4 linked regions of the Arabidopsis thaliana genome follow. The protein of the gene in region 3 interacts with the protein of the main gene of each other region in a pairwise test. Each region holds a gene or a part of one and is shown on either strand. Other genes may lie near its edges. The genes, in order: AT4G10080, AT3G46890, AT2G01175 and VP2.

What was found.
Region 1: the proteins of AT2G01175 (region 3) and AT4G10080 interact in a protein complementation assay, tested with the Arabidopsis thaliana proteins (one large-scale study listed by BioGRID).
Region 2: the proteins of AT2G01175 (region 3) and AT3G46890 interact in a protein complementation assay, tested with the Arabidopsis thaliana proteins (one large-scale study listed by BioGRID).
Region 4: the proteins of AT2G01175 (region 3) and VP2 interact in a protein complementation assay, tested with the Arabidopsis thaliana proteins (one large-scale study listed by BioGRID).

The regions. Positions count from the first base shown.
Region 1 is NC_003075.7:6,299,045-6,304,943, forward strand, and holds AT4G10080 (uncharacterized protein), read right to left. Parts: upstream 3,701-5,899; 5' UTR 3,517-3,700; coding exon 2,665-3,516; intron 1,536-2,664; coding exon 1,410-1,535; 3' UTR 975-1,409; downstream 1-974. Other genes in the region: AT4G10070 (KH domain-containing protein), read right to left, coding at 15-406, 550-715.
Region 2 is NC_003074.8:17,265,234-17,269,215, forward strand, and holds AT3G46890 (maternal effect embryo arrest protein), read right to left. Parts: upstream 1,896-3,982; 5' UTR 1,798-1,895; coding exon 1,183-1,797; 3' UTR 1,108-1,182; downstream 1-1,107. Other genes in the region: AT3G46880 (uncharacterized protein), read left to right, coding at 60-176, 268-310, 567-667, 737-853, 950-1,033; COPT2 (copper transporter 2), read left to right, coding at 3,654-3,982.
Region 3 is NC_003071.7:103,488-108,143, forward strand, and holds AT2G01175 (uncharacterized protein), read right to left. Parts: upstream 2,805-4,656; 5' UTR 2,585-2,804; intron 2,309-2,584; 5' UTR 2,274-2,308; coding exon 2,085-2,273; 3' UTR 1,397-2,084; downstream 1-1,396. Other genes in the region: BAT1 (bidirectional amino acid transporter 1), read right to left, coding at 1-56, 136-355, 439-457, 546-806, 875-975; PAP1 (phosphatidic acid phosphatase 1), read right to left, coding at 3,695-4,627.
Region 4 is NC_003070.9:29,668,939-29,677,761, reverse strand, and holds VP2 (vacuolar H+-pyrophosphatase 2), read right to left. Parts: upstream 6,268-8,823; 5' UTR 6,071-6,267; intron 5,983-6,070; exon of another isoform or gene 5,771-5,982; intron 5,677-5,770; 5' UTR 5,423-5,676; coding exon 5,324-5,422; intron 5,154-5,323; coding exon 4,950-5,153; intron 4,840-4,949; coding exon 4,688-4,839; intron 4,600-4,687; coding exon 4,452-4,599; intron 4,376-4,451; coding exon 4,243-4,375; intron 3,922-4,242; coding exon 3,749-3,921; intron 3,600-3,748; coding exon 3,479-3,599; intron 2,987-3,478; coding exon 2,799-2,986; intron 2,619-2,798; coding exon 2,181-2,618; intron 2,101-2,180; coding exon 1,936-2,100; intron 1,860-1,935; coding exon 1,704-1,859; intron 1,619-1,703; coding exon 1,507-1,618; intron 1,407-1,506; coding exon 1,187-1,406; intron 1,101-1,186; coding exon 1,001-1,100; 3' UTR 931-1,000; exon of another isoform or gene 814-930; coding exon of another isoform or gene 344-813; 3' UTR 247-343; downstream 1-246. Other genes in the region: AT1G78922 (uncharacterized protein), read left to right, coding at 1-44, 146-246, 344-813; AT1G78915 (Tetratricopeptide repeat (TPR)-like superfamily protein), read left to right, coding at 6,681-6,791, 6,873-6,901, 6,987-7,024, 7,186-7,273, 7,543-7,648, 7,763-7,842, 7,961-8,011, 8,067-8,136 and 3 more. UniProt on the Arabidopsis thaliana protein: Pyrophosphatase active in both inorganic pyrophosphate hydrolysis and H(+) translocation.

The sequences.
Region 1 (5,899 bases), on a different chromosome or scaffold from region 3:
CCAAATCATATCACCTTTGAACTTGGGACATCTATCCTACGAGTTGTCGACTGTGTGCCATCAACCTCCTTCTGAGATTTTTCACCATCCACTTCCTTATTTTCTTCTTTACCATTCTCTTGAGAACTACCATCATTCACTTCCTTACTATCGTCATCAATCACCTTCTGATGTTCACCACCATTGACATCCTCAATACAACCTTGTTGGTTATCCTCAGGCTTAACCTGATCATCTGTTGGCTGATCTACACTACAAATCTTATTTTCAGACTCATCAGCATGAATAGGATCCTGAACTTCCTCAACAAGTGGTACAGAATCTTGATTCTCTTCCTTAGGTTCCTGAAGCTGTTCTTCCTCTTTTACCTCCATTGAAGACCCATTTTCTTGTGTATTCCCATAATCTACAACAAAGGCCGAAGAACAACAATGAGAAAGACTGATTTATCAACAAACTCAAAGAAATCTCTTTTTTTGAAAACTATAACCATAGAACATCATAAAAATCAAAACTTTAGTTTATAAGAAGCCAAAGAGACAGAAACACCTAAACCATCTTGAGCTTCATCTTCTAGCTTCGCTCGTTTAGCCTGAGAAGAATCAGATGTTTGATTGCTATCATCCACGATATTTCCATTAAGCTCAACTTCGTCGAGCTTTCGCTTGAGATCGACAGGCGGCGTAGAGATAACAACAAAATCTTCCTCCGTCATCTGGAAACGAATCGTCCGGCGAGGAATTTAGGGAAAGCTGAGTACTGTAGGGTTTGGGGAAGAAGAGAATTATCTCCGGCAGTGAAAAGAGTTTGGGTTGCGACTCTGAACGGTGGTGGAGAAGTAACGTTTAAGGCTTTAACGTCTATTTATAATGTTCGGGCTTTTATTGGGCCTAAAAATGGGCTACCAGTTTTTTTTTTAAAGTTATCAAAAATAATGATGTTTTCTTTGTTGATCGTCGAGGGGATGTTGTTGAGACGATAGCTTCTACTCAAATTTTGTAGAATCGACAACATAGTAGAAATTTGTAGGGTCTTTATTTCCATTGTAGTGGTTTTATCGACTTTGGACTATGTCCTCCTCTCTATAATAGTTTACAAGCTTGAAACCCCAATGAAATCCATAACAAAACCCACATATAGCTTATGAAATTCTTAAGATCAAACATAGAAAAAGGCTTACCAACTGGGATTTTCAGTCTCTGAACATACATAAATCGCTACGGTAATCACTCTGCAGTGTATCCCACGGTTGGGACACGACTCACATACGCGATTTCATAAGATGGTAAACTACTACTTATGCATAGGTACGACATAAACACATGTATTTGTATTCTTACGGTACATAAAGTGATGGACATTGTATGATTGATTCTCCACTGTGTCTAGGTATTGTAGAAAACGGCTTCTCATCTAAGGCTCAAAACCGGCCATGCGCCAGGCGATGGTAGAGCAGGGCGGATCACAGGGACCCTTCTTACCTCTGTGAACACTTCATTGAGTCGAGCAGCCTGACTCATCACCCGCGACGCCTTCTGCACAGATCATAAACAACCCAAGACGTGATAATGATAGAAGTAAACCAACACCAAACAAATACCAACCAAGCAAAGAGATGTGCGCTAAGGGAAAATATCAAATCACAGCATTTTCAGCGGATGATGCCTCAGTATTTTTGTACTTAATTCAGACAGATTACAAGAACATATTAACTACAAAATCTATATCTTAGAGGGGGGTATTGGACATAAATTCTAGATTTTCAGGTATAATAAAAGAATTTCGAATCTTTCTTCTCAATTCAAATAAATATTTTGCAGTATTTTTAATAGAATTCTACTAGAATTAAGAAGATAAATTACTGAAATCTTTTGTTCCACAATGCTCTTTATCGGGACAGCCACCATGCCCAATCTCTAAAAACTGTACTTTTTCCTTCACAAACCTCTTAACCCAGAAACAATCTACGTTGACGTTTACATGAAATGGAAGAGATCCATATTTTGACAACAACGACAACGACGTCATCACAACCTCCGCTCATCTGCTCTCTATAGATTAACGCACTCTCCTCATATATAATCGAACGAATGATGATCCGAAGAATAAACCGGATCGAAATCACAGATTCTAATAAATGTGTTAAACACTCTCCCTCAGATTTGAGAATTTTTTTTGTATGGTTGAAGCAAATCGATGAAAGAGAAAAAAAGGATGGATGTGTTATATTCTATCCAAATCTCAACTCAAAAACTCAGAATTTGTTCTTCACATTTTAGACCAATTTTTCTATTAAATTCTTGTGAAGTAACGTTGTCAAACAAAACTACCGAAAACTGAATAACACTTGCAACTAATAGAATTAAGAAATGAGCAAGTTAAATAACACAAGAATTTAAAAGAATTTGTGAAATGTCTAATTGAATAACACTAGAATTTAAGATTCTATTGAAGTCTATCAAATTCATGCGTCCAATACCCCCACCTTAATATAAGGCAGGACAAGACAAGAACTAAACTAAACTTGAAATTCTACGGCTCAAGTCAGACCAATTGCATCAACACAACATAGAGTGTAGCTAACTCCTAAAACGTATCAATCTAGACCAGCTTACCAACTTCAAGCAAAATGAAAACACAAGGGTCAATGATAATATAGTGTACCTTATCGTCAATCGTAACTTTAAGATGGAACCTTTGAGCTTTCTTCTTCATATTATACAATCTACGTCCCAAGAGAACCAAACCCATCACAGCAGCAGCCATAGAGACAGACCAAACCGGACCAATCCTAAACACAGAGTACTTAAGAAGCACAAATGGCATCTTCCACCACACAGTCTCTCTACTTTTACCCTCACCACCAGAACTCACGCCTCCAACTTCCACAGTATCTCCTCCACTTCCCTCAATTACTTCACTAGAAGCAACTACACTATCAGAAACAACTTCTTTTTCACCATTCACAACCCCAGAATCTCGAGAAACCAATTCATTTCCCCCTAAATCAGAACACAACTTGCTCGAATCCTCAATAGGTTCTTCAACACCCGATTCGTTCTCACCGTGCCTTCCATCAACGAATTCTTCGAGATTCTCTGTTTCATAGTGAGATACGGTTCCACCAGTTAATTCAGTAGCAGCTTCGCTCTCAACATATTTCTCATTGGCAGCTTCAAAATCACTAAGCCTAACCTCACCATCACCCAAAATTCCAGTTTCTGAATCATAAACCCCAAATTCATTTCTGACACAATCATCACCCGATTGACTAACACTGAACTGATCCAAACCAGAATCAACACTAACCTCACCCGGATTCAGACACTCCGACCCGTAATCAACCCGAAAAGAATCAAAATAACCCGATTCAATCACCCGATCAGTAGCAGAGAAATGATCAGAAAGAATCATACCGTCATCGATTACGCTTGAACTCTCTAATTTCGTCTCCGATGTGATTGAATCAGTTGATTCTGTATCAGAGCCATGATGAAGAAGCTCCCAATCATCCATGATGATCGAATTCGAAGATTTCAGATTGGGATTGCAATAATCAGAAACCCTAATGGATAAAACCCCAAATATTGGAAAAGGATCGCAACAAATTAGAGCGGTTGATGATGGAAAAGAATGGTTCTTATCCACTTTGAGAAAGTAATTACGTGGAGGTATCTAATTGGTTGCGTGTCAATCTCAGTCCTCAACTAAATTTTTTGGCATTAAAGTTTAGTAGATTCAGAGAACTATAGTATTTATTCATTTTGTTCTTTCATTTTTATTTTATTTTTTAAAACGATTTAATTAGGATTCGGCAATAAATCGTATGGTGCGGATCAAATGAATTAAACAAATATGTATCGGTTAAAATAGAGTAGACGATGTAAGAAAAATATATATAATCAAGATTCAAACGGTTGAGGTGGGTTTTGCAAATAAATCCATCGGTAGATTGAAATATTTTCTTATTTATTATTTATAGATTAGTATTTATAATAGTACTGACCAAAAATATAGAAAAAAAAAATCGGTAAAAACTTTAGACCGATTTTATATAGAAATAAATTTAGTTTATAACGGATTATTGTCCGCTCCAAAATTAAATGGTTTAGTCTCTAATAGTTTAGTTTGTTTCGAAAAGAATGGTTCTTATCCACTTTGAGGAAGTAGTTATGTAGAGGTATCTAATTGGTCACGTAACATTCTCAGTACTCAACTAGATCTTTTGACATTAAAGGTTGGTAGATTGAGAGAAGTATGGTATTTATTCCTTTTGTTCTTTCATTTTTTTGGTTTTTCACAATGATTTAATTAGGGTTCACGACGAATCGTATGGTGCAGATCAAATGAATTAATCAAATACTAGATGATTTACCCGAACTATGTACAGGGAGAAATAGTTATATGAAATATATAAACAAGTTTTTGGAAACAGATTTTATATTATCACTTGATATATAAGTGTGAATATTTGAATATGATTTAGTAACTGATATATTTTGGAGATTTTATTAGTTAGGAATTAGGATATTCTATATTTGGAATAAGATTTTAAATTAAAATATTGACCCAAAAGAAAATCTGAAATATCATTCCTATAATTCAGAAATATATTCGAATATTTTTTGTATTTTATAAGATTTTATTTTGGAAACAATTCAATATAAAAACTGAAAAGAGTATGAATAATTATGTTTTAAACGTAATAAATTTTTGATTATCTTTTATTATTCTTCATAATTCTATGTAGTTAGGATTGATTTATTGCATATCCCTTATTTTATTAATCAATTTATATTGTTACGATAAGGTTTTGGGTTGTAAATAAATTTTAACTAAAATGAGTAAATGACTAATTAAATTGAATAAACTGTGTAAAAGTTTTAATAAATTGATAAGGTAAAAATTTGAAAAGAAATAATATTGAAAGTAATCAGTAAGCGGATACATTTTTAACATAGATTAATATTGAAATATTGTTCATAGTGAATGTGTAATAAATGAAATGTTACTAACTAATTTATGTAAAACTATGTTCCGAATATATTCAAGAATCATATGGGCTCACATATACATTTAGATTTTTTGCAATTTATAACAAAAAAATAGAATGTCATATATGTTAAAATTCTAAATGTTTTCTATAAAACCTAAAAAAATAAAGTACGAAACATATAATAAACATTTATATTATATGTTGTTCATCATAATTTATGATATATACTTTTTACTTGTTTGCTCAAATATATATGGTTTTTTGATTAATTTTCTTTATTAATTGCTACTCTCTTAAATGTAGAGGAAAAATATGCATAAGTACCACTAATGGCATTATATGTAATTAGTCTAGTAAATATTGGATAACTATTAAGTTTGTTGAAAGTTTTTCTGGTTACGACATGTCAGCATGATAGTCTTGTAAATCACACGTGAATGTAAGGTTTTTTATTTAAAATACTTCTCAATTAATATATAGGGGATGTATCAGTTAAAATAGAGTAGACGGTCTAAAACCATCTCCAATGCACACCTCTATTTTTTTCTTTCATTTTAGAGACAAATTTATTTTAGAGGAAATTAGATTTTGCTCCAATGTATTCTTCTAAAATAGTTTTTTTCTCCAAAATAGAGAAAATAAATAGATTTTACTCTTTATATAGATTAAAACGTAAGATTCCTTTATTTTAGAGAAAAATCTATTTTAGAGACATATATTGAAGCAAAATGTATCTAACATAGAATCACCTCTAAATGGAGAAAAAAAATAGAGATGGACATTGGAGATGTTTAGAAGAATATAGATTCGAGCGGTTGAGGCGAATAAATCTTTCTGTAGATTGAAATGTTTATTATTTATTATGAATAAATTATCATATAATAGTGTAAACCAAAAATTATA
Region 2 (3,982 bases), on a different chromosome or scaffold from region 3:
ATCATCTTCTCTTTTCATTTCCTTCTAAGTGATTAGTTAATAACACATTTCTCTTAGTAATGGAGGGTAAAGGAAGAGTTGGATCATCATCGTCTTCTTCCTTCACAGCTCAACTCTTTGGCCCCAAGGAACCTTCCTCCTCTGCCAACTTCAACTCCATTTTCCCTCCTTCCAAGGTTCGATTATTTCTCTATAGTTTCTTCTGTTACTTTTTATGATGGATTCTTGAAATTCATTCTTCCTTTCTCATTTTTTTCGTGTTTTCAGGGAACAGCAAGAAACATCCTAAGCTCCAAACATGGGTCCCTAGGTCAGTGGAAAAGTCTTAATTAAGCCTCAGAAAACTTGTCTCCCTTCTTGAATCAATATGGTTCCTTTCACTTTATATTAAGCCAGGTTTTACTAGAAAAACGTTTTGATTCATCTCAAAAAACCTTCTATCTCATGCCAAGAACGGCTCAAAAATTCTTCATCTAAGATTCACCGTTCTTTAGTCAAGATTACTATCCAAATCCGGGTGGTCTAATGGATACATTATCTCCTTGGTTTTCGTGGTTTCTTCACAGAACAACGTAAAGAAGCTGGAACCTGCAATCTAAGCTCATCTCTTTACTACGGTGGTCAAGATGTTTACTCTCACCCCACACACAACCATACTTACCCTACAGTGAGTTAACATAACTATCATTTTATCATCCACCCCTTCATGTTACTTTGATTGTTGATTTTTTCATAGAAGAGACAAAATCTTTTGACTTTACAAAACGTTGAATCATTCAGATTAACAAGGATCAGAACAGAGATAACAACGATGCCAATTCGTCTGACGCCTCTAGAGGAAACTGGTGGCAAGGTACTATACATACCCTAACCAAATGATGTTTGTTACAATATTCACGTCTTTGTTTGTTTTGCTTATAACATATGCCTAATCTTGATATTTTCGCAGGTTCACTATATTACTAGAAGCTTCTCTAAGTGCGTCTCTGTAGAAGAATATCAAGTTGAAACAGAACAATATTTGATTGTTTGAACATTTTGTTTGTTCTTAAAAAAACTGTTTCAATGATGTATACTTGACTGTCTAATGTTAAACCAAAGATTAGATCTCTGGCTACAGAACTAATCGAATCTGAAACCTCAAATCCATCAGACAAGAGATTGTAGAAACCCAAAAAAGGGTTAATAGATAAATGCGTAGAGCACAAGGAACACATAGATAATAAGTGCAGAAGGAACAAGTACAACAAGAGGAACAATAGCTGCAAGTGCATGAAAGCTTCTCTTACATTCCAAAGGTCCAAGTTTAATCTGAACAAGATCCACTAACGCCATTGTCAAGAACCCACATCCCAAAACCGACGCAACACACGAAGCAACAATCCCAACCCTTAAAGCTGCCAAGTTCACACGCCCCTCTCCCGCGTTCAACACACGCGCCTCCTCCTCTAAACAGTTCCCGTTTGTTGTTGTTGTTGTTGTCCTAATTGCTTGCTTGAGAGACATAGCGATGAGACTGGAGAAGAGGAATAAACTGAAGGAGTAAACATGGCTTGATACTAGCCTCTCCGCTAATGCGGGACCTTTTGCAGAGATACATCGGCGGAGATGGTGGTTCTCGGAGGCTGATGAGGAAACCGGGAAAGTGATGTTTCCACTTGTGGTTAGGCCGAGGAAAAGAGCAAGCGAGAAGAGTGAATTAACGTTCACGATGCCGTCTATAGCCGTGACGTGGATTAGTGTAGTTGGGAGGAGTCGTCGCCGGAGAAATTCCACGGCGCCATTGGAGATTGCCATCAAATCTGAATCGTTATAGCTCCTAGACAACAATTTTGATTGAGAGAGATAGAAATTTAGTAATTCATATTTAGAGAAAGTTTAGCTTTTAGTTGTCAGTTTTCCGGAGACTGTGGGAAAATGTGAGTAGCGTAGAAGCTAAGTATTGCGTGACGTCTCCGAGGAAGAAAACGACGGACAGGTAATGATAGGAAACGTGAACCGCAAGGTATCGAACCTTTTTTCTTTTTTGGGCTTTTGTATCGATACGTCGTCGTAGAGGTCATATTTTTTTTTGTCTTTTACCCAACAACACTAATTAGAGAATTTTATATAATCTCTATGATTAGCTTTTCTATAATTTTGTAAAATCTTCATATAATCTTGTAAAATCTGTCTAAATATAATTACAAACTTTGTCATTAATTATTTTTATCTCTTAGAGGGTGATTGACATCGCACTGTCAAGACTTTAAAAGCATTTGACAGTCCTTACAGCATTTTTTCATACAATCAGACTGTTATTTGTTTTTGCTCTTATACAGTCTTAAAAGTCAGATTTTTTTTTACTCTCTGTAACTTCATTTTTATCTAAAGCCATGTAATTGAGACTTTAAGTGGTGTTAAAGCTTTTGCAACAATTATTATTAGAACATATCTCTAAAATATTGGATAATATTTTCTCATCTTCTATAAATACTATTTTCACCAAAATGATATTATTATTTTAGGCTTTCTTTATAAAAAACGTAAGTATTGATTGTCAAAAAGTGTACTCTCCCAAAATATTCCACTACGATTTTGTTAATACGTAAGTTTTCAAATTTTCCTAATTCATCTTCTTAATTTGTGTGTTCATATACTATTGTCTTCTTTGTGTTTGAGTGTTTTGGTTTTGTATATTTTTTTTTTATGATTAAAATTCTAGTGATTATCAATTTTTTTTCTTATTACTATCTATACATATATGCTTAGTTTATGGGGAATTCCCAAAAGAGTAAGGAAAAAGGTCAATACAAACTGTGTCGTGAGGTTTTGAGGCTTGTGATAATCTATGGTCATTCTTCACGATGGTTTATCATTGGTCTTTGTTTATATACAAAGTTATGATTCACAATCGCTCACTTTTTATGATATTTTCATGATTTTGTTTTGTGAATAAAAGTGTATAAAATTATAAACCAATAATACAATAATTTAAATCATTAACAATCATAGATTCTTTTGTTTTTAGTTGAATATCACAAAAAAATTGATGACTTTATTAAATTATGAATCCAATAACTTCAGATTTATTAAGACTTTAGATTACTTTTTACAAATCAAAATTTAATAACACTAAACTTTAATAGAATCTTATAAAATCTTAATTGAATAACAAAAGATTTTTCATAACATTTCAAACCACTAAAAATCTATATAAATAACAAACCAATAACACCTCCTTAATTTTGGTTTTGAAACCTAAGTTACTAAATCCTTAATTACATTTGTATAAATTCTTTTCAAATTATTAGATTTATTCTAAATTAAAATTAGATATTCTGTGTAAATTATTTATTATACCAACGCAAAGAAGATTAGACGAAGAGGCATGGAGTTGTAATGTTGTATCATGCAAATAAGGTAAATACTATATATATATTTAGGGGATTATATAGTTGTCTTTCTTTTGAACATCTATTTAAGGGGATTTTCTAAATTCTAATATAACGAATGTTTGTACTACACAAAAAAATTTAACAAGTCAAAAGATGATGTACTTGTACTACAGTACAACACATACATTTAAGAAATCACAATAAATACGAACCGATTCTCTCTTAAAAATTTTGTCTACAAGAAAATCAATCATAAACCCTATTAACATTAGTATCATGGATCATGATCACATGCATGACATGCCACCACCATCACCATCATCATCATCGATGTCGAATCATACAACACCACACATGATGATGATGCACATGACCTTCTTTTGGGGTAAGAACACGGAGGTTCTCTTCTCCGGATGGCCCGGGACAAGCTCCGGCATGTACGCTCTCTGTCTCATTGTTATATTCCTCCTCGCCGTAATTGCCGAGTGGCTCGCTCATTCACCGATCCTACGTGTCAGTGGCTCAACCAATCGAGCCGCCGGGCTCGCTCAAACCGCTGTGTACACACTCAAGACTGGCCTTTCGTATTTGGTGATGCTCGCTGT
Region 3 (4,656 bases):
AGTGGTTGCTCTTTCCGTAGAAACCAAAGGAATCAGAATCATGAGCACCAAAACCCCTGAATATAAGAGATGCTTGATTGATGATTGTTGTTGAGACATGACATGAAACACAGAGACAAAAGAGAGATTGGGTACCGAGGAGATTCCAAAGAGCAGCAAGCTGTCCAATGAAAGACAAGACGGAGATGGGGAGGCTGTTGAGAAGAGCGTGGATGAAGAGGATCCCACCATGGATACCAATCACAACAAAGTCTGATCCTTTATAACCGCCGCCGTTTCTACCGCCGGTGGAGAGAAGGACGATCACCTGAATCAACTGTGCCAGAGAGAAGTCAACGCTGGCCGTCACTGCCCACTGCAAACACACCACAACCTTACTTTTAGCCCCAATGAGAGATATATCTAATGAAAACAAGTCTGCTTGAATGAATGTTGCACCTGACCAACGATGTTGAACCTGAAAAAAGATTTGTGAAAATGAGTCAGAGAGAGACGCTCTCTTGCTTCCAATTCCAAATTAAGAAAAAGGTGAGAGAAGGGAGTACCAGCCAGTCATCCAAGAGGCAAGAGGAGCCCAACGAGGGCCAGCGAGCATAGCACTCCAGTAGTAGAGACCACCGGAGGTAGGGTAAGAGGAGCAGATCTCGGCCATAGATAACCCAACGCACATTGTGAAGGAGCCGGCCAGGAACCATCCGTAGACCAGAGTGACAGTGCCGCCGAATCTTAAGCCGGTGTTGTAGGTGGTGGTGATACCAGTGAGCACCGATATGATGGAGAAGGAGATGGCGAAATTGGAGAAGACCCTGAAATCTAACAATTGTTTAGCTAACACAAATCAAAGAAGAAAAAGGAAAGAGTGGCGGAGACAGACGAGAGATCGCGCTTGAGCTCTTGCTTGTAGCCGAGCTCCTTGAGGCGGACTTGGCCGGAATCCATGACGGGAACAAAGGATTGATCGCCGCCCAATCCCATAGTCTTCCTGGCCTGAGAGTCCAAAGCTTTGGTTGTTGAGAGCTCTCTCTCTGATTCAGACAAGATATTTATTTTTCTGTTATATTACTTTTTACATACCCCTCCAAACTGTCTTTTTATTATTATTTATTCTTTAAACTAAATAAATATGTAATTCAAGTAATATAAAAAAACTAATAAGCAACCCCAATGGTTAAGATCCTTAAGGAATCCTTAAGAATTTTCTAATATAAATTTTGACAAATATAAAGCTAAGGACTAGCTTAGGGACTCTCAAAAATATTCATGTCCAATAGTAGGAATTCTTAAGAAAGACAAATTTGAAAAAATATTTTGGTATTTGAGTTTAGATTGCTTGAAAAGAAAGATAGAGAAGACAAACTATACAAAAAATTTGATACATTTTTGATAAACACATTTTGAATAACAAAGATTCATGACAATAAATATGACAAAGTATACAAGATTCATTTGAAAACATATCAAAGACAAAAACTATACAAAAAAACATCATCCTCTTCTTGAAGATACTCAGAACATGGCCTACTCTTTGATACACAAACCTGGTTAATTTGCCACTGATGAGGATGACTGTGTAGAATGTTCAAATCATAAAATAGACAACTTTGTGGTTATGTTACCACGATCCACAAAATCATGTTAGTCTCGAGACTAACAATCAAAGATTTGCTATCCAAAACAAACTAAAAAAGATTTGATGCAATATTGAGAGGAAAAACTGAACCTGGTTTCTCTGATTTGAATTCCATTTTATCAGACTCTCATCCGTGCAACAGAATTTATAACACATTAACTAACTCTTGTTAACCACTCGTAATGCTAAAACATTATATAACCACAATCTTTGAACTCTCCTTCTTCATAACATTAGAGAGACAGAGAAGATTAAAGACTTGACACAAAAGTGTTTCAGAAGAAAGAAACAAACAAACCGAAGCCAAAAATCCTCTAACATGAGACACACAAAACAAATCTAGTGATGTTGTTCAACATTACATAACACATCTAAAAATACACTAATTTCGTAGACCACAAACATAAATCATATATGCTCATTGATTAAGAACAATAAATCATTATCTGAAGCCTTATGCAGAAGCAAGATATTTACCTTCTTTGAAAAAGGGGACCAACAAACCAAACAGCAGATGGATGATCAACGACATAATGAACCAAGTTATCACCGGCTGGTCTAGCAAGGGCTGCACAAGTAGCCAAAGAACCAAGAAACCCAAGTGCCCATAAAGCTTGAAGAGTCCTCTTAACCTCCATAACATATATACGAATTAGAAACAGAGATAGCCCCAAACCACTAGCACCAACAAAGTAAAACAAATCATGGTTCTGCTTGATTAGTTCACTTAATCAATGATGACAATCAAACATTAGCATCATCATTGGTCTCTTGTGTTCCCATACATACAACATCCGCTATAATTTCAGAGACACATCCAATTCAGAAATATAACCTTTGTTCTGATTATGATACATCAATCATCAATCGGAAGAAATCGATTGAACCTTCTCAGGGAGAGACAGCGCACGACTCTATGAGTAATATACAAAAGAAACGATTGAGAAGATTTACCTGGCGACACTGAGAAGAGACGATGAGGGAGGTATGTGACTATACAAGCTTTCGACAACTGCCGATGGTTACATGCGCTGCTGCTCCGATTACCTACCATCACCACTTACGAAACTTGGATTGATTCAATCGAACAAAGACCAGTGAGATCAGAAGCTAAGACCATCCCCATTGGTTAGGTCCTTAACCATGATCCTTAACTTTTTTTTTTTTATTAAAATTTTGCTTTTTGTAAGTTAAGAAACTAATAAGAGTCTTTAACAAATTTCTACTCCAATGGTTAAGAAACAATGGGTCCTTGAGTAAACAAAAATCAAATTTTTGCAAAATAATGTCTTCCAATACAAGCATGAAATTCATAATAACAAAGAGAAGAGATGAAATTTGAATTGCTAGTATCATCATTTGCTCAATAAAACACAATATAACAATACGCTAGCATGACAAAAACACAGTTTTCAGTTCTGTTCCAATATTTTCAGAAACAGAGAACCATTTTAATATCTTGAGTGCACAAAAGAAACGGTTTCCAGTTGTGCTTCAATATTTTCAGAACTGATTTAATACCTGCAGCATAGTTGGCAGCGCATGTGCGTAAGCACAAGTGTCAAACTTTGTTCTACACTAAAATAATAGCTACCCAGAAATTAAAAGAAGAAGAAGAATGAGAGAAACGAAGGGAGAAATAGAGAGAAAGAGAGATTACGCATGTGGAGAGCTCGAGTAATTTAGTGTTGTGGATGATTGAACCAGCTATGGCTATGCTAACAATGGCTTTGCCATCTTCAACCATCAGATTATAAGAGAAAATGTTAACCCAAGAATGATTACGAATTAAGAAATAACTGATTTCAGTTTAGATCACAAACATGTAAATACCGTGTTCACTAGAGCCGTATTAGTCTATTGGACGAGATTATTCGAGCGACCCAAGCCTCTCGGACACCAGAAAAACGTCAATTTCATGAAGAGTGGATTTACAAAAATGTAATGGTACAAGTAGAGTTTTGAATACACATACAGTATGTAGCTACACCATTCACAATCTCACGACGACGGCCAAATCAAAATGAAAAACCAAATAATGAATCAAATAATAAGAGAGGAGGATCATCTGGGAGCGGTGGAAGTGCCAGATTCCATGTTTTCGAGAGATGTTGAATCCATCTGCAGAGACATAGCCCTCAAGGCATCTCCGTTTTGGGAGGAGGTCACAGGGACTCCTCGTTCTTGAGCTGCCTTGAAATAGGCGTAGGGACCCCATCCTTCTTCGTGGTAAGGGTTGGGGTAGAACTGACGGTAGCAGAAGGCGGCTACAAGGGTGCCAATGAGAGCTCCTGCGAAGACATCTTGCCAGTGGTGCCAGTAGTCATCCACACGAGATATCCCCACAAGACAAGCGGCAAGCAGAGGGAAGATCACGAGGCAGAGTTTCGCCACATGTCCTTCATTGTTGAAGGCCTTGATTTTGCCAGAGAGGTAAAGGGAAAGGAATGTAAGCCCCGCAAAGGACCAGGAAGTGTGTCCGCTCGGGAAGCTCTTGTGGCCTTCCTTGACCTCAGCTGCCTTGCCGTGGCATACCACACCTCCCAACGCATCATACAGCTCTTTGCCGTCGGGGAAGCAGCGCCAGTAGAAGTTAGGACGAGGGCGTCCGGTGGCTACCTTGATGGAGTCAGTGATGACACCAGTTATCAAGACGGCGAAGAGCAGCCCGAGGATGCTGTGGTGCAGATCGTACACACATGTCCTCTTCAGGTAGAAGCAGACGAACACTATGATGGGAAGAAGCACAGCGTACACAGGGACAGACCAGATAGGTACGGTGTTGTCCTTGAAAGGGTACTTGAGGTCAGTCATCATGTCTTTTCCCACGTAGCGGTAGAAAGGAGAGATGAGGTTCAAGCCTATCTCGATGGCAATCAAGATGACGAGTATGATCCAATCGTGCTTGTGTTTAGAAGCGACTCTTCCTCCATGGGACTTTATAGTGTGAACACTAAGATCTATCTCCTGCATCCTCCCTCTCTGCGCCTCCTGGTCCTGCCACCAAAAACACAAACAATCATCAC
Region 4 (8,823 bases), on a different chromosome or scaffold from region 3:
ATTTTCACAGCACCGTTAAAAGCCACACTTGGAAGATCCTGTTTGTAAGATTTTCACGTCATTGTCTGAATTCTGTCGTGAAATCGCTTTGGTTTGTTTTTCTATCGCATGTTTTGAGGATTTCTCTTCTGTTTAAAAATTACAGAGATGTATGCTCGGGACCATGGGATCTTGAGTGTTTCATAGAACATTTCTGTCTTCCTGATATTGCAAAGCTTGTGCTGATGTCAAGCCTCTGTTTCATAAGTAAACCTTTCTCTTATTTCCGATTTTTAGCATTCACTATTGATTCTGTGAACTTTCCTTTGTTTTCTATAATTTTGTATTTGTTTCTTTTTCCCAGTTTTGATGTTCATCACCCTCCTGTTCAAGCTTGGAATTTGCCAATGTGTTGTGAAAAGTATCTGCAAAATGTCATGTGCCGCTTGTGCAGCGTACTGGTTCGACATTGGAGAGATGATTAGTTGCTTGTGTCACAGTTTGACTAACATAAATCGGGTCAACCGTCGCAGAAAACGTCTCGATGATATAGAAGCTACGACCTATGATTATCCGAGTGATGATGAATCAAGTTCATCGGACAGTCCCAGTCGAATAGATAACATTAGACCAAAGCAGAGAAGAAGAAGACTAGGAAGCAAACACAGCCACCACCATCATGGCAGCAATCGCAACAACCGCCGTCTCATAAGACTACCGAGTAGACAATTGTCTGTACGAGTTGGAGGCAAATCAAGAAGAGTAAGAAGAAGTACTAGAAAGATTAAATCGAGGAAAATAAAGACTCTCAAAGTCAAAGATGTGGTTGATTAAAATGTCTCTAGAATTCCTTAAAGAGTGTCTCTAAACTCAAAAACAGAATTATCTCATTTATTCAGATGAAATGAAACACAAAAACCATTAATCCATGTAAATCATTTTATAACCAACCTCTCTCCCTCTCTATTTGTATATGTGCAAGAGAGTAAATAAGCCGGGATGGATAAGTAACGGTTCACTTTCAGAGGAAAACCGGAGCCATGACGAGAGTTATAGTCGCAAGCATTTTTATGAGGACGTGAATGGATGGACCGGCTGTGTCCTTGAACGGATCTCCCACGCTACAATTTTCAGATGAATTCTAATGAGAAATCGTATTCAGGAATATAACTTTGAATGAGTGTTGAAGTAGAACGAAAATACTTACGTATCACCAGTCACAGCTGCTTTGTGAGCTTCACTTCCTTTGCCCCCAAGTGCCCCGGTCTCTATGTATTTCTTTGCATTGTCCCAAGCACCTCCCGCCGTGTTTAGGAAAAGTGCCATTAAGATACCACAAACTGTTGCAAACATGAGCATAGAAGCTACAACTTTTGCTCCGAGCAGAGGTTGTCCTGTGTAGTAACCCAAGATTCGAAACACCAAACCTGAAAGAGAGAACAAGAGGTTTGTTTTTGGTCACAATGTTGTGGTTTCAAACTTTCAATACAGTAAGTAAAGAAAAACGAGTAGATATTACTGACTTACCAACTACAATGGGTGATGCAATAGCTAAAGCTCCTGGCTTTATCATTTCTCTTAAAGCTGCAGATGCGACTATGGCGACACAGCGACTATAATCTGGCTTCTCCTTGTACTCCTGCAACAAGATATTTGCTAGTCAACAACGGTACAAGCCAATACACAAGAAAAGGTGAAGCACTCAAAAGGAAAAATATGCTCACCATTATGCCAGGCCTCTCAATAAATTGCCTTCTTACTTCGTTGACAACCTCTTGTGCAGTTCGACCAACTGCCGCGCATGCCCAAGCACTAAAGAGGAAAATAAGCATGGCACCCAATAATCCACCAACGAACACTTCTGGGATAGCAATATCAACCTGATTTTATCCGAGGATGAGTATGAGAAGTTGTCTCAACATCGAGAATACAGCAACGATGCATAACGAAATCTACCTCTTTGAAAGACACATTAGCAAACGCTGAAACCTCGTCCATATACGCACTAAAGAGAAGGAATGATGCAAGTGCAGCAGATCCAATGGCAAACCCTTTCGTTGTTGCTTTTGTGGTGTTCCCAACAGCATCAAGAAGATCAGTGATCTCACGGACACTCTCTGGCTGCACGAAACATTTATTATTTCTACATAGAATAAAGATGGAACATAAGAGCCTTTCAAGCCAATCATGTGACATCTTACCTGCTGGCTCATCTCGACAATCCCACCAGCGTTGTCAGCTATGGGGCCAAACATGTCCATAGTAAGGACATAAGCTGCAGTGCTTAGCATTCCCATTGTAGCAACGGCTGTTCCAAATAGACCTCCAGTGGGAATACCATTTTCGTCCACTAGACCCGAGGTATTGCCCAACCAATACGCAGAAATAATAGCTACACTTATAGTCAAAACTGGAAGAGCAGTTGATTCCAGGCCCAAGCTTACTCCAGCAATGATATTAGTCCCATGACCAGTCGAGCTAGCAAGAGCCAACGTCCGAACAGGCTCGTGCTTATAGTCTGTATAATATTTGGATATCCAGACAAAGATATAGGCTGTGATGATGCCAACCAACCCACATAGGGCGAAATTGAACCATGCAGATGGAGCTTGTTCAGTGTAAAGCAGCCAGCGAGTCGACTACAAACATAAATAATGCTGTCAGAAGAATATAGCAAAGAATTTGTTCGAAATTTCAGTAATAACAAGGCTAGTGTAGGCTAATGAAAAGTCTGAACCAAAAAGCCCATAAAAAGCAGAATTAATTGTAAAAAGAATGAAAGGAACAAGACAATCAATGGTTATGTGTGACAACATTACCGCGCCAAATGTTATAACAGCTAATATAATTGTCAGAGAATATCCTTTCTGAAGTACAGCCATTGGATCCTCTACCGGAGATTTCACACTAGCATCACGTGTTCCCTTGATTGATAGAATACCAATTGAGGATATAATCAAGTCAAAAGAATGAACAACTAGAGGAAAAAGGATAAAGCCTGATGGATCTGCATAATAGAGAAAGATTTGAGTAAGTATCAAGCATGAACAAGAGGTTTAATAGGATGTTTATCAGCGCATATCTAACAACCACTGCTAGAAATGGGTAATGTTATTGAAATTTTTTGACTGCAGCCAAGTGTAGCTTGCTGTCATGAAAAGTAGTCTTCCTTCAATTTTCACACAATGCATAGCAGGTTCGTACAAGGTGCTTCAAACAATAACTCTATACAACTTATGTCGACTTTTTAAATCCTAACAAGTAATAATGTACCCTCAAATCCTCAAGGAGTGACCAAAACATGCAATAAAGCGTAGATTATTCTGTATACAGAATGTAATTTACGAGCTTGAACTCTCTATGCAACTCTTCCTAAGTTTGCATTTCAGATTATAAAATCCTAGCAGTTCATTTAATTTTCTCGGTATGAGTCAGGAACTCACACCATAAGTTATATATTTGCATATACCAGAAGTAACTTTAAAGAGAGATGGTGCACCTTCAATTTTGCACTTCTTAGCCATTGTTCCACCTAGTATCATTGCACTGATGATTTCTGCAGCTATACTTTCAAATAAATCAGCACCTCTAGCAGCACAGTCCCCCACATTGTCTCCAACCTACAAGAAGATGAAAATGGCTTTAAATGCCTAAATGACGAAAACACAAGCAAACCCTTGTAGAGTGATATATGCCCCAAACAAGGATGTCACGTTTGGGAATCACAGAATCAAGAAAGTAAGAAACAAAAAGAACAAAGATCAAATACCAAATCAGCAATAACAGCAGGATTTCGAGGATCATCCTCGGGAATTCCCTGCTCAACTTTCCCAACGAGATCTGCCCCAACATCAGCTCCCTTAGTATATATTCCACCACCCAACTGAGCAAATAAGGCAACAAACGAAGCACCAAAACCATATCCGACAAGAAGAAGAGGTACTGTAAGAGAAACAGAAAATTCAATCAATAAATCTTACAAGTTTAATAGCTCCACTATCGCCCATGCAAATGCAAATTCTGGTCAATAAATCAAGAGAATTACATATAGGGTTCACTGAAAATCTTAGAACTGTATTGGTACCCCACCTCAATCAAGATTAATACAAGTCATGACATATTTAAGAAAATACTGCTCATGTCTGAAAATGATCCTTTGAAAAGATAACAATAACTTTTTGAAACTCAGTACAATGATTATAGAATATACACACAAGACGAAAATGAATATTTTTCATAAAAAAAAAAGAGCAGAAGACTTACGGTCAGTAACATTCATTGAGCCTGGTGAACCCACGCCCAACCACACATAAAATGTAGAATAGAGGATGGCGATACCAATCACAGCCATACCAACAACAACCAGGGCTGAAAACCCACCAGCACGAACGGCTATCTGCATTATATCTGCCACTTAGTATTTGGAAACGTGTACATGACATGTTACCAAAATAGCTAAACTAAAGAAGAACCTGCAATGCTTCTCTCGCAGATCGTCTGGCAGCACTGGAGACCCGCACATTAGCACGAACTGACACCCACATTCCAACATATCCAGCAATACCTGAGCATAGAGCCCCCAAAAGAAATGCAGCAACAGTAATATAAGCAGACATCGCCCTGCAGCAAAATAGTAATATGGCTAAGCTTCATTCACAACAATTCAAAAGATAAAATAAATCTTGTGAATGTAATCATGTATCAGCACCTTCCTAAACCAGCAGCCTCTTGCTGGGGAGTTAAGCTACGGAATAGATATATGCAAAGAATCACAAAAGCTAGCAAAATGGCCATCTTGGATATAGTGCTATACTGCGTTCTGAAAAAACCTTCAGCTCCATCACGTATAGCATCTGATATCTATAAGTAAGAGAATTACCTCACAAATTAGAATTACAAATTTTTGATGAGAACAAAGAAGGAAAAATGTCAACATCATGACTAACACCACATAATCTGAGTGAGCTTACCTCAACCATCTCTGGAGGTCCTTCATCTTTCGCTAAAACCCACTTGGTTAGATATATTGACAAAAGGAAGCTGATGATGCATACTGTGAAGACGAACACGATGATGGGAGAAGTACTTGCCCCCATGTAAAAGATTGCTCCGAAGCAGAAAAGCAGAATTATCGAAAGGACACGGACATTTAATTTCCTAATAATCCGGAATATCTGCCAAAAAACAACTAAACTTTATACAATTTCAAAGAAAATGAAAACGAGATGCTCAAGAAACTAAGATGCTAAACGAAATAGAAGGAAACTAGTTATAATACGCATCTCAGTGATCTGATGCAAGCAAAAAGAAAAGCACTCAAGAAAGAGAGGAATAAAAGTTGTACCAGTGGACTATAGGTTTTACTACGCATGTTGGGAAAAGCCCTAGGCCTGTCATTGAAAGACATCAAACTGGCCTGCTCAACATCTTCATCCATCATCATGTTTTGAGCTGAATTAGCCCTTCGGACTATGTGTAGAGGCGTAAAGTCAATGCTATGGGGCAACTCCGCCCCAGAACTCGGACGCTGAATTTTAATACACTACAACTTTTTCCTCCAAACGTTAACAACAGCACATCACAAAACGAGCACAAGTTAGTATGAACCCTCTTAACTCTAGCTATATCTTTGATTCCAGCTTCTTCAAACTTTCTCAGTAGAGTTGCCACAACAAGTTTCCACCACAATCAAAATTTCTGAAAAAAATAGAAAAGTATGAAAAGTTGTGATGTTTCTCTTTACCAACCAAATAGCATTTTTAAATGAAATATAATCAGAGTAAGGTTCTACAGTAAAGTTTAGCTATAACTTTCATCATTTCCCATGAGCGTAATTGCTTCTACGATCAATTCCCCAGAAAAGTGCGATTAACAAACAGACCTCAAGATCTAATCGACTAAGATTTCAGTGAATAAAACGCAAGGGACTTTGCATTCCGAGTTTAATGAATCAAGCACCGTTACTTTAATTTAGATCTGAGTTCTGTTCTAAGAGAAATTCACATGATCTCTAGACAGGAAATGGATACGTTTCCAGAAACGAATCCAACGAAAAAAAAAAAGCATACGAAGAGTTTATCCGGAAACAAACCCTAAAAATCGGTAAAACAGAGAAGATGACGGCTCCGGTGAGAGTGATCAGAAGGAAACCGCCATTAGCGAAAGCTTGTTGTAGCCGAAGAAGCGCTCTATCCTCTCGCTGTCTCCGTTCTAAATCCGAAGACTTTTCACAGAACTTTCCGAATATTTTTTTCCTAAATTAATTTTTCTACCTTTAATTTTATTTTCACTCCTCAGTGGTTCAATACTAATTTTATGACACATCCTATCCAATGAGTCGTTGACACTTAATCACTATTCTCACTTAAAAAGTTAAAAACTTAAAATCATCCTCGTTTGTTAAATTATATAGATCGAGTTAAATTATCAAAAATACCCATCAATTTTGGAATATTAACATTTGAATATTATATGGGCCTAGCCCAAAATTATGTTTTGCCATTCGGCCCATATAATAGACAATCTGCAAAGTGAAGAAGAAGAAGAACCACTAACGTTATCTTACCGGCCCGATCACGGAGCTCACCTTTCATCGTCAATCTCCGGCGGACGAATTTCTCTTCGTAGCCGTTACTTCTCATTATTTCTTTGAAACTTTCTTAGAAAATTCTCTGTTTTGGTTAGGACAATACAAACAGAGGATGTTGATGACACTAGCGGCGACGACCTCCGTTTCATTTAACTCGAAGCTTCTCCTATTTCGAATACGTTGCTCGGATTCTAACCCTAAGCGTGGCTTCGGCTCAAAAAAGGTTTGATTCCAAATTCTTCTTTGTTCAACTTAATTTTGTTGATTCAAAGTACTGAGACAAAAATGTGAAATCGCATCACAGGAAGAGAAAGACCCGGCATTGCAGCAAAGGTATAAATAGTTTTTGTGTTTGTTTAAAGCATTTAGAATTTTAAATTGCTGTTGTTATATTTTCATATGGACTTCTTTGCTGCAGGAAATCATCTTCTAAACAGTCTGTTTCTGTACCCAGAAGTAAGTATAATTTGATTTTAAAGCATATTGTACGTAACAGATGTTGCTGCTCTCCTTCATGGTGTCTCGAACATAACTTCATTTTTGCATTCTTCAGTTTATCTCAAAAAGTTGGTTTCAATTGAAAGGTTTGCTCAAGAAACTCCTGCATTTGTTTGCAGAGGCACCTGGTCTGAATACTCAGTTTGAAGGAAAATCTGGTCGATCTTTTGATATAGACTTCGATGAACGGCTGGAAAACATCAGAAGGTACCTATGTTTTATGATTCTAGCATGAAGATTGGCTTTAGAGATATATAGGTTACAATAGGATTATTCCTCTGACAATCACACTTGACTTTCTCATTATACCCACAACGACATGATCTTCCTATGAAAGTTTGATTCTTTTTTTTTCTTGATTTGTTCATCACTTGTCTTGCTTTCCACTTCCCTCACCCCCTAGACATAGTCAAGATCATTGTCCTCCCACTGATCGGAATGTTATTTCTGTGACCTCTGCTCTTTTGATGAATCAGGTCAGCTCTTGAGCAGAAAAAGACAGAAGTAGTTAAAGAATTTGGTCCAATTGACTATGATGCACCAGTCAAGTCTGACCAGAAAACAATTGGTCTTGGTACTAAGGTACGCATACATAACATCTTGCAAGTGTTTATTTTTTATTTTGTTCTAAAACCACTTGAGGCCTATAAGCTACTCATACATAACATGACAAAACTTGGGCCCATGCCATGACAGGTTGGAGTTGGCATAGCTGTTGTTGTATTTGGTTTGGTTTTTGCTCTTGGTGACTTTCTTCCCACGGGAAGGTGCGTTAAGTGAAGTCCAAGTCATAACTGTGTCATTTACACCATGTTACTGTTTGTCATTTTCCTTCTTTTTATTCCAGTTTGTAATTGTTTGTGTAAAGATTCTGATGACATCATATGTTCTTAGGATCAGCTGGGTTGGTTTCCGTAATTTCACATTTTTGTCATACCAAGTCATGTTGTCATGTAATTTAGCCGGTGTCAGTTCTAACAATGTTTTTACCACTTTTCAGTGATAGTCCAACTAAGAACACAACAGTAGTTAAAAATCAAATTTCAGAAGAAGAGAAAGCCACGCTTCAGGTAATATTAGGGGCTGATCATGAAGATTTCGTTCATGAACTTTGATAATCTGAATAAAGTAAGATACGTAGTAAACATCTCGATTTTTTTTCATTTTGCAGCAAAGGCTCAAAGAGTTTGAAACAACTCTCAATGGCACGCCTCAGGATCAAGCTGCTCTGGAGGTGAGTGATAACATGCGCATGTTGTGCATACTATTAAATATCTTCTTCATCGGCATTTAGCCATTCATCTGTAGGCTTCCAATAGTAACAAGGAACAACTTAAACTAATAATCAGGTAGTATGTAACAGTTCTTACCTCCACATCTTAAATTGCATGGAACTTTTCTGTTTGCATTAACTGATTCACCGAAGTTAGTAATGTACACATAGTATGCTGAAAACAAGATAGGCTACCTCTTCTGACTTATTTATAATGCTAAAAAAATTCTTAAAGTTGGGGCACTATGCAGGGTGCAGCTGTGACACTGACTGAACTAGGAGATTATTCACGGGCTGCTGCGTTTCTTGAGAAACTCGCTAAGGTTTGTTCTCTCATGCTTTTATATTTTCTTATGGTTTCACATGAACATTCTTGTACGAGACTTAGCTAATAGTGTGTACAAAGTGGGATTCTTGCTCTTGCTCTGTAGGAGAGACCAACTGACCCTGATGTATTTCGACTGCTTGGAGAAGTAAATTATGA